Arabidopsis thaliana: one gene and its partner. The protein of the gene in region 1 interacts with the protein of each later gene in a pairwise test. Each region holds a gene or a part of one and is shown on either strand. Other genes may lie near its edges.

What was found. The genes of interacting proteins can lie anywhere in the genome.
Region 2: the proteins of RLP30 (region 1) and ACBP2 interact in a protein complementation assay, tested with the Arabidopsis thaliana proteins (one large-scale study listed by BioGRID).

Annotation. Positions count from the first base shown.
Region 1 is NC_003074.8:1,530,129-1,535,290, reverse strand, and holds RLP30 (receptor like protein 30), read left to right. Parts: upstream 1-1,929; 5' UTR 1,930-2,030; coding exon 2,031-4,391; 3' UTR 4,392-4,623; downstream 4,624-5,162. Other genes in the region: AT3G05365 (uncharacterized protein), read left to right, coding at 199-305, 584-723, 821-915; AT3G05350 (Metallopeptidase M24 family protein), read left to right, coding at 1,448-1,774, 5,035-5,160. UniProt on the Arabidopsis thaliana protein: Receptor for microbe-associated molecular patterns (MAMPs) that induces a BAK1-dependent basal immune response to necrotrophic fungi (e.g.
Region 2 is NC_003075.7:13,845,772-13,850,491, forward strand, and holds ACBP2 (acyl-CoA binding protein 2), read left to right. Parts: upstream 1-1,777; 5' UTR 1,778-2,002; coding exon 2,003-2,490; intron 2,491-2,766; coding exon 2,767-2,869; intron 2,870-2,949; coding exon 2,950-3,053; intron 3,054-3,316; coding exon 3,317-3,408; coding exon of another isoform or gene 3,409-3,413; exon of another isoform or gene 3,414-3,493; coding exon 3,494-3,591; intron 3,592-3,678; coding exon 3,679-3,858; 3' UTR 3,859-4,163; downstream 4,164-4,720. Other genes in the region: FEY (NAD(P)-binding Rossmann-fold superfamily protein), read left to right, coding at 40-141, 263-355, 457-792; AT4G27790 (Calcium-binding EF hand family protein), read left to right, coding at 4,295-4,720. UniProt on the Arabidopsis thaliana protein: Binds medium- and long-chain acyl-CoA esters with very high affinity. Can interact in vitro with palmitoyl-CoA, but not with oleoyl-CoA. Binds to lead ions (Pb). May function as an intracellular carrier of acyl-CoA esters.

The sequences.
Region 1 (5,162 bases):
AAAAATCCATCGCGTGTCTTATTTTTTTTGGTTTTCTTCTCTAAACCAAATTAAACCGAACCGAGATCAATTTGAATTTCAAAACCAATGTAAACCCATCAAACCCATCGCTGTGAAAACAAAAAGCTCGGCCACTGTAACAACAAAAATGGAGACGACACAACTTGGAAGAGAAATCAACTCTAAATAGCCAAGAGAATGTTCGAAAACCCCCTCAAATCCGATGCTTCCTTTGATTCCAACCTCCAAAAGCCCATCTGCTCAAATCTTCATTTCGAGGATGAGGACTCGAGGAGTATTACAAGGTACCTCAATAGAATCAATGGCTTCCATGGATTTTGAAACTTTACTTCTAATAAACACCATTGTAATGTCTTGTTGTGAAGTTGTGTAAGGAACAAAGGATAGTGAAAGCTGAAGAGTGGGATTCGTTTATGGAGTTTCAGAGTTTTTTTTGACTAAGTGGCCTCTGTTTTTGATTCTTCAGTGGTCAATTTTGTGATGGGATTTGATTGAAATTGGAGAATGATTTCATGAAATCTCTTCGGGCTGAGGTTGATTCATGACTCTTTCATTTTTCTAGTGTCTCATTGATGATAGACATAAGAAGCATACTTAAGGCCATAGAGAGTGGTGAATTGGAGGCAATCAAGCCTTTGCCTTGGTACCCTAAGAATCTTTCTTTTCACGGAAGGAGATTAGAAAAAACCAGATACTTGAGAGGTACATTTTCATGCCAGTTGCTTCAGAACAAGTATTCACTTCCATTCCCTTACTTGTGTTAGTTCAGCGCTTGAGAAATATTATGATCTTGTTTCAGACTTTCAGCTGTCAAGAGACAAGGCCCGTTTTACTATCAGGTTAAAATCATGGTCAGCTTCTTGTCCCAAACCACATTGTTGCAAGGTTTTGTAATAAATCTTGGCTCGATAATGCATTCAGAAACTTCTTCTACTCATATCTCAAAATATGTTTTGAATTCTAAACCCCATGGTTATCAATATAAAGAATATTAGTATCTATTTTTCTCTTTTCTGGTGTGGTTGCAATTTATCGTTTGTCTCTTTCGTGGAAACCCTTAATTCAGGCGGTATTAAGTCTTTCTCATAAAACTTTCTAAGTCAAACCAAAATTCCAATCGAAATTCTCAGCATGAAAGTCTCGAACACGTTTACATTTCTTACGCACCCAAAGACTCTTGCTTCTTGCACACGTCTCTCTTGGCTGTCCTTTACCATAACGAATTTGATGAGATTGTTTCAAAATAAAATGTTTCTTTTTGACAAGTCTGGGATTTTAATGTAATTATCAATAGTCATGCACATTATACAACATTTAAAAGAATACGGGGGTTGTTTTGCAATTTTCAGTAGTTATACACATTTATCCGTAATCACTCTGCTCAAGAAGCTTCTCCTCTTGTGTGATTCTCCTGCAATCGCTGGTGATGATTCCTCTAACTCTTTCGTCGCCGTCTCTGAATCGGCTCGTTTTATCCACATCACGTTACTCACACTCTCTATTTCTCAGCAATTTCAATTCGCTCTCTCTGATCCACCGGAAATTACCGTATAAACCTCTTTTTGGCGCAAGGTGTCATGCTAGTAGCAGCAGCAGCAGCTCTTCCTCCTTCACGGCAAAGTCTTCCAAAGAGATTCGTAAAGCTCAAACCAAAGTAGTTGTCGACGAGAAGCTTAGCTCGATCCGGCGACTGTTTTCGGAGCCGGGTGTTGGAATCGACGCTTATATCATACCTTCACAAGATGCACATCAGGTTCTCTTTTTTTAAACCTCTTCTTAACTCGTGATTACGAATTGAATAGGAAGTTCTAGTAGATTCAAAACTGTTCAATTGTGTGTGTTTTTAAGTCAATTATTGGTCCAAGTGGGCAAGTTTGACTATAGAAAGGAGTAGGTAGAAGTCTACTAGAGAGCTGCAAATTTGTGTTTTGTTTTCTATTTTTCTCTCTCTCTAAATAGAGACGTAGAAGCCATAGCTATCATAACCTGTTACTTACAAAACAAACAAAATGATTCCAAGCCAATCTAATTCCTTTTCTGGTAGTGTTATTACCTTGTATTTCTTCCTCCTGGGTTCCCTTGTTCTACGCACTCTTGCTTCTTCTAGGCTTCACTATTGCCGCCATGACCAAAGGGATGCTCTTCTCGAGTTCAAACACGAGTTTCCGGTAAGTGAATCGAAGCCAAGTCCATCGTTGAGTTCATGGAACAAGACTAGTGATTGCTGTTTTTGGGAGGGTGTCACGTGCGATGATGAATCTGGCGAGGTGGTTTCACTTGACCTTAGTTATGTCCTTCTCAACAACTCTTTGAAACCAACTAGTGGTCTTTTCAAACTCCAACAACTCCAGAACCTGACTCTCAGTGATTGCCATCTCTATGGAGAGGTTACTTCTTCACTAGGAAACCTTTCTCGTCTCACGCATCTTGACCTTTCGAGTAATCAGCTGACAGGTGAAGTTCTGGCTTCGGTCAGTAAGCTAAACCAACTTAGAGACCTTTTACTTTCCGAAAACAGTTTTAGTGGTAACATTCCTACTTCATTTACCAATTTAACGAAGCTTTCTAGTTTAGACATCTCTAGCAATCAGTTCACATTGGAAAATTTCTCTTTCATACTACCAAATTTAACCAGCTTGTCCTCCTTAAACGTTGCCTCTAATCACTTTAAATCCACGCTTCCATCTGATATGAGTGGACTCCACAACTTGAAATATTTTGATGTGCGTGAGAATTCATTTGTCGGGACTTTTCCTACATCCTTATTCACGATTCCTTCGTTACAAATTGTTTATTTGGAAGGAAACCAGTTCATGGGACCTATAAAGTTTGGGAATATATCTTCATCTTCTAGGCTTTGGGATCTAAACCTTGCTGATAACAAATTCGATGGGCCAATCCCTGAATATATATCTGAAATTCACAGTCTCATAGTACTAGATCTTAGCCACAACAACTTAGTTGGGCCAATCCCCACTTCTATATCAAAGTTGGTCAACCTTCAGCATCTTAGTCTTTCAAACAATACCTTGGAAGGCGAAGTGCCAGGTTGCTTATGGGGATTGATGACAGTGACACTTTCCCACAATTCTTTCAACAGTTTTGGAAAGTCATCATCCGGAGCTTTGGATGGAGAATCAATGCAGGAGTTGGATCTTGGTTCGAATTCACTTGGAGGACCTTTTCCCCATTGGATCTGCAAGCAAAGGTTCTTAAAGTACTTAGACTTGTCCAACAATCTCTTCAACGGCTCAATTCCTCCTTGTTTGAAAAATTCCACTTATTGGCTTAAAGGGCTAGTTCTGCGTAACAACAGCTTCAGCGGATTTCTCCCAGACGTATTTGTCAATGCTAGCATGTTATTATCACTTGACGTTAGCTACAACCGGTTGGAGGGAAAACTTCCAAAATCCCTGATCAATTGCACTGGTATGGAACTTCTGAATGTGGGAAGCAACATAATCAAGGACACTTTTCCATCCTGGTTGGTTTCTTTGCCATCATTACGTGTCCTCATCCTCAGATCTAATGCATTCTATGGGTCGTTATATTATGACCACATATCTTTTGGGTTTCAACATTTGAGACTCATTGATATATCACAGAATGGCTTCAGTGGAACTTTGTCACCTTTATATTTCTCCAATTGGCGTGAGATGGTGACATCTGTCTTAGAAGAAAACGGCTCTAATATAGGTACAGAGGATTGGTACATGGGCGAGAAAGGGCCCGAGTTCAGCCATAGTAATTCGATGACTATGATATATAAAGGAGTAGAAACGGACTTCTTGCGGATCCCATATTTCTTCAGAGCCATTGACTTTTCTGGAAACAGATTTTTTGGGAATATACCTGAATCCGTTGGTTTGTTGAAGGAATTGCGTCTTCTCAATTTGTCAGGTAACTCATTCACAAGCAATATCCCTCAGTCATTGGCAAATTTGACAAATCTTGAGACATTGGACCTATCCCGGAATCAGCTATCAGGTCACATCCCTCGAGATCTTGGTAGCCTCTCTTTTCTGTCGACCATGAATTTCTCCCATAACCTTCTCGAAGGTCCAGTTCCACTAGGCACTCAGTTTCAAAGCCAACATTGTTCTACATTCATGGACAACCTCAGACTCTACGGTCTTGAGAAAATCTGTGGAAAAGCTCATGCCCCGAGTTCTACACCACTAGAATCCGAGGAATTTTCGGAACCAGAAGAACAAGTGATTAACTGGATAGCAGCGGCAATAGCCTACGGACCTGGTGTGTTTTGTGGATTAGTTATTGGACATATCTTCTTTACTGCACACAAACACGAGTGGTTCATGGAAAAATTCCATCGAAACAAGCGCAGAGTAGTCACCACAAGTGCTCGTTGAACACCATCACCTCTCACAATTTCTCTGAGTGATTGTGAAACGTATATGTTTGTTATGATATCTGTCAGTTGTGTTATGCATAAACTCTTTGTCTTTGTAATTTTCTACTTTATGGTATTGTAAGAAACGGCTTTGGTGGTATCTGATCTTCTATATGTTGGGTTGAAAATGCATTCAGATTTTTCTTCCTAGTCAAATCTCAACTTGTCATAAGAGGATGTTTCAATTGTAGAGCCAAATGGAAGTTCTTCTTCTTCTAAATCACAGTATGAAATTCTCCAACTCGTGTTTTATTTCATTCTCCCCAAAGTTTCTTGCTCCGCTCACACGTCAATCTTGCTGTCCCTGAGTATACCAAATTCGATTTGGAGATTCAAGATAAAAAATAAATATGATTTGGACCAGTGCGGGGGTTGTTATGCATCTATGCAATTGTTTTTGCCATTTTGATATGGGTAATGTGTTGTTTCGGTGAATTTTACATACTAGGAGCTTAAGATCTACTTTCATAACTGATGTTGCCTGTAATATATTTCTGTGCCATTAGGAAAGTCACAAATTTATGTTTTACTTCTAAATGTATCCATAAACTGCCTGAGTTTTTCATGGCTTGAGTGTGATTTTTCTCCATATTTTGTACTAGAGCGAGTTCATCGCAGAGTGCTATGCCAGGAGGGCTTATATATCAGGATTTACTGGAAGTGCTGGTACCGCTGTTGTCACCAAGGATAAGGCAGCTCTATGGACAGATGGCCGCTATTTTCTTCAGGT
Region 2 (4,720 bases), on another chromosome or scaffold:
TTCATGCAAGATAATGGGTTGTGGGATTCACTTTTGTAGATGCATAGTGTCGGTTTTGTTGACCCGGATGACATGAATGTTGTTTCTGGTAGACGTAAGTACTCAAGCCTTATAGGATACTCAAGCAGCAAGCTTGCCCAGGTGAGCTTACAGTAATGACATCTGCCGTAGTTTTCATCTGCCGTAGTTTCCATTTTCTGAAAGAGGCTTATTTTCAGAAACTGGTGAGTTAAGTCTCGCTCTCTGATCTTCCATCTTCCAGATTATGTTTAGTAGCATTCTTTTCAAAAAGCTTCCTCTGGAAACAGGAGTCAGCGTCGTATGTCTATCCCCTGGTGTTGTCCTAACAAATGTTGTGAGTATTAGCTTCACTTCATTTCGTTACAAGTGCAGGATTCCTCTGTTTTCTCAGAAATTCATTGCGTTGAACTGCCTATTTCTTTCCGAAATTTACAGGCCAGGGATCTATCCAGGATTCTTCAAGCTCTTTACGCAGTGATACCTTATTTCATATTTTCACCCCAAGAAGGTTGTAGAAGTTCTCTATTCTCGGCCACAGATCCTCAGATTCCAGAGTACTGGGAAACACTAAAAAACGATGATTGGCCTGTTTGCCCATTCATCTCTCAAGATTGCCGCCCTGCAAATCCTTCCGAAGAAGCACACAACACAGAAACTGCACAGAGAGTGTGGAAAAAGACGTTAGAGCTGGTGGGTCTTCCTCTCGATGCAGTTGAGAAGCTCATAGAAGGGGAAAATATCCAATGCCGGTATGGAGCACAACACGAATAGTCTTTCAAAATTACCACAGGTTAAGTGACCCATTACAGATCAAAGGGTAGGTAATTGAGAAAATATCTTTTTTTTTTGTTTCCTTGTATTAATCTACACGATACAGTGGGGAATGAATCCCCCAGGCATGTAGTTTGCTTGAGAATGTTTGATTGTTGGATAAAAGTCAAGCTTTAGCTACCATTCCATTGCTTTTACTTACAAGTCTTGTTCAAGTATTTGGTTAGTGTGTCTTGGAGTTATTAAGATGTTCAGTAGTAGAGTATGGTAGCCTGGGTTGGTGGGTAGTTTCTTGTTTGAGTTTAGGGTATTTTCGTAATTTTCTTTATTGTTTGTGGAGTCACGTTGCTCATATATAGTTATAGGGATATATATCAATTAGAGTCATCATCTCTCTTACTCTCATGGTGACAAAGTCACAAAAGTGATAAACTCTCCTTTCCACTTTCTAATGTTTCTTGCTTAAATGAGTATTCCATGTAAAAATGATTCACTCACTCGTATGGGTGGGTTGGGTTTTCTCTTCATGAGATGCTCATTTGAGCAAGCAATGTTTGGAAGTGGGACTATTTAATATCATGTATGAGTTTTATCTTTTGTTATAAGAAAAAAAGTTGGGATTTCATTTTCGTGCCCACTTCACGTGAATCTAATGCCTTCAAGTTTGTGGTCTACCTTATTTTCTCTTATGGATACATGTCAATTTACGTGTCGTATGAGTCAAGCCTTTAATCATCCCAACACCATGCACGTCTTCTAGATTTGTTTTCGACCACGATTCCACCACAAAATTTGACATTGTTATTGAATTCATTAACTTTTTTACGTGTTATTGTGAAATATTTATTTAATTTTGTTGGTAAAAGGAGCAAAAAAGATTAGGGTACAACACGTCGACTTCTTCCCCAATTAGACCCATATGTGATCTGTCGTCACTCGTCGCCAAGTTTTTTTATGTGTCGTCTTTTAAACTTTGATCCAATTCATTAAAAAGTCTTAACGCCCACAACGAAAAGGAACTTCTCTTTTTGTTTGGTGACTGAATCGGTGGAAAACAACACAAGTTTGTTCCTTTTTGTCTCTCCAGATCCCTTGGCTTCCTTCTTCTTCTTCATCCTCCTCGTGAGACTCTGTGTTGAAATTTCTCTAGGGTTTTAATTATCGGCGTTGGTTTTTCGTTTTTGAGAATTTGATTTCGTTTTTAGAAATAATGGGTGATTGGGCTCAACTTGCTCAGTCTGTGATCCTAGGTTTGATTTTCTCTTACCTTCTCGCTAAGCTGATCTCGATCGTCGTCACGTTTAAAGAAGACAATCTCTCTCTTACTCGTCACCCAGAGGAGTCTCAATTGGAAATTAAACCGGAAGGAGTTGACTCGCGACGTCTCGATTCCTCTTGCGGTGGTTTCGGTGGTGAGGCGGATTCGCTTGTGGCGGAGCAGGGTAGCTCCCGAAGTGATAGCGTTGCCGGTGACGACAGTGAGGAAGATGATGATTGGGAAGGCGTCGAGAGCACGGAACTCGATGAGGCTTTTAGCGCCGCCACTCTTTTTGTGACTACCGCCGCCGCAGATCGGCTTTCGCAGAAGGTACCGAGTGATGTGCAGCAGCAGCTTTACGGATTGTATAAGATTGCTACGGAAGGGCCGTGTACTGCTCCTCAGCCATCAGCTCTCAAAATGACTGCTCGTGCCAAGTGGTATCTCTCTCTTTCGTTGAATCTGCTGTGCCATTAACTTCTATGTATCATTTTCTGGTGTTTTTGTTCAACTGTTTGAGATTTGATTTGAGGTGGAAATTTTTGAGGTTTTAGGTTCTTCATAGACAATCACCTAGTTTGCTTCTTAGCTTATGCAACTGCTGGACGATGATGTGGTTTTTACTGTTGTAACAGTTGATTGTATATGGAATTGTGGTTTGTTGTAAGATTGCAATTTCATTGATTGGGATGTGCCATGATCTTGTTCTATCTCAGGCAAGCATGGCAGAAACTGGGAGCTATGCCACCTGAAGAGGCGATGGAGAAGTATATTGAGATTGTCACTCAGCTTTACCCAACTTGGTTAGACGGTGGCGTGGTATAAAGCTTTTTCCCCTTTTCTTTGTTTGATTGCTTCGGTTTCTTCCTCTGGCCTGTTCATGTGAGCTTCACTAACAGAAAGCCGGAAGTCGGGGTGGGGATGATGCAGCCTCCAACTCAAGAGGAACCATGGGACCAGTTTTTAGCTCTTTGGTTTATGATGAGGAGTCCGAAAATGAGTTGTAAGGTTCTCTTCTTGTATTCTCATGTGTTTTATATCCTGATCCTTGCGTTCATGTCTAGATTAGATATAAGTATCCTGATTTGTGAAAGAGGCTCATAAACTCGGTGAATATGTAACATTACTGTCTCGTTCTAGCTGTAGCAAATTTTGATGGTGAAATGGCTACAATTGTCTCATGGAACTTTGAGCTGTTCGTTTCTTCCTGTCTATCTGAATGAAACACTAATCCTCTGCTCATTGAACTTTTGTTTTATCTCTCAGGAAGATTGATGCCATACACGGATTTGCTAGAGAAGGAGAAGTCGAGAATTTACTGAAAAGCATTGAAAGCGGCATTCCTGTAAATGCAAGGGGTTAGTCTCTGCTTGTATATTCCGTTTCTTGGAAGTTCATTCTCGTGATGTTGGATCTGCATTCTAATTTTCCCATAAACTGCAGACAGTGAAGGTCGCACACCATTGCACTGGGCTATAGACCGTGGCCACCTCAACATCGCCAAAGTTCTGGTCGATAAGAACGCCGATGTGAATGCTAAGGTGACGAAAGAGAAATTCCTACCCAGTCATTATCTGCAAAGTTAGCAACTTCTTTATTTATGTGTTTTTGGTTCTTGTGTTGAACAGGACAACGAAGGCCAAACCCCTTTGCATTATGCTGTTGTATGCGACAGAGAAGCTATCGCCGAGTTTCTGGTTAAACAGAACGCAAACACAGCCGCTAAAGATGAGGATGGAAACTCTCCCCTTGATCTCTGTGAATCAGACTGGCCCTGGATCCGAGATTCTGCAAAGCAGGCAGACTAAACAAATACTAACCACGTCTTCTCTAAATCCGCAATGTATATGATCAAATGACTTAGTAAGAAGCTTTTCTTTACTTTAAACTTTCTTTCCATCCCTACCACATCACTGGGATGTTCCAACACTATATCACTTGGATGTTACCAAGTCTTGTTCTTTGATTTCTTTCTTCTTACATTTTAACAATCTTTTGTTCCTTTAGGCTTTATGATATGTCGTAACCGGTTTTGTTGGTTTGCTATAAATACACACATATAGACAGAGGAAGAGTCATTGGATCCTCAACGAATAAATAACCGACTTTGGCGGCAAAAACGGTTGATAGAACATAATTTAATGATTTAAGGAAAGCCCCCAATAAAGCAAATACAAAAACAGAATTAGCAATCTTCGTGGCCCTTTCGTCTTCTCTCCCTACCCCACCTTGGACTACCGGAAAATGGCCAAGGTGGTGGTTTACACGATACTAACCGCCACCATCATCTTCCTCATCCTCCTCGCTCATAAGAAACAAAACCAGACTCAATCCATTGAGGGTCTCATAACCCGCCGCATCGGACGGAGGCTTGAAATGCCGGTGTTTGACCCTTTGGTGACCCGGATTGAGAGGTTGTCTCATGAGAAAGAAGCTGGTACGAAGACCGTGGAGGCTGCGAAAGAGGAGAAAGATGATATGTTTGAGGAGTATTTTGCACAAGAGAGAAGGCTTAACACGACAATGAGGATCAAGTTCTTGTTTCCTCTGCTTGACGCGTCTCCAAGAGATGGCTTTGTGAGCTTGAAAGAGCTTCAGACATGGATGATGCAACAGACAGAAGACAACATGGTTTACAGAACCGCCAAAGAGCTTGAGCTACAAGATAAG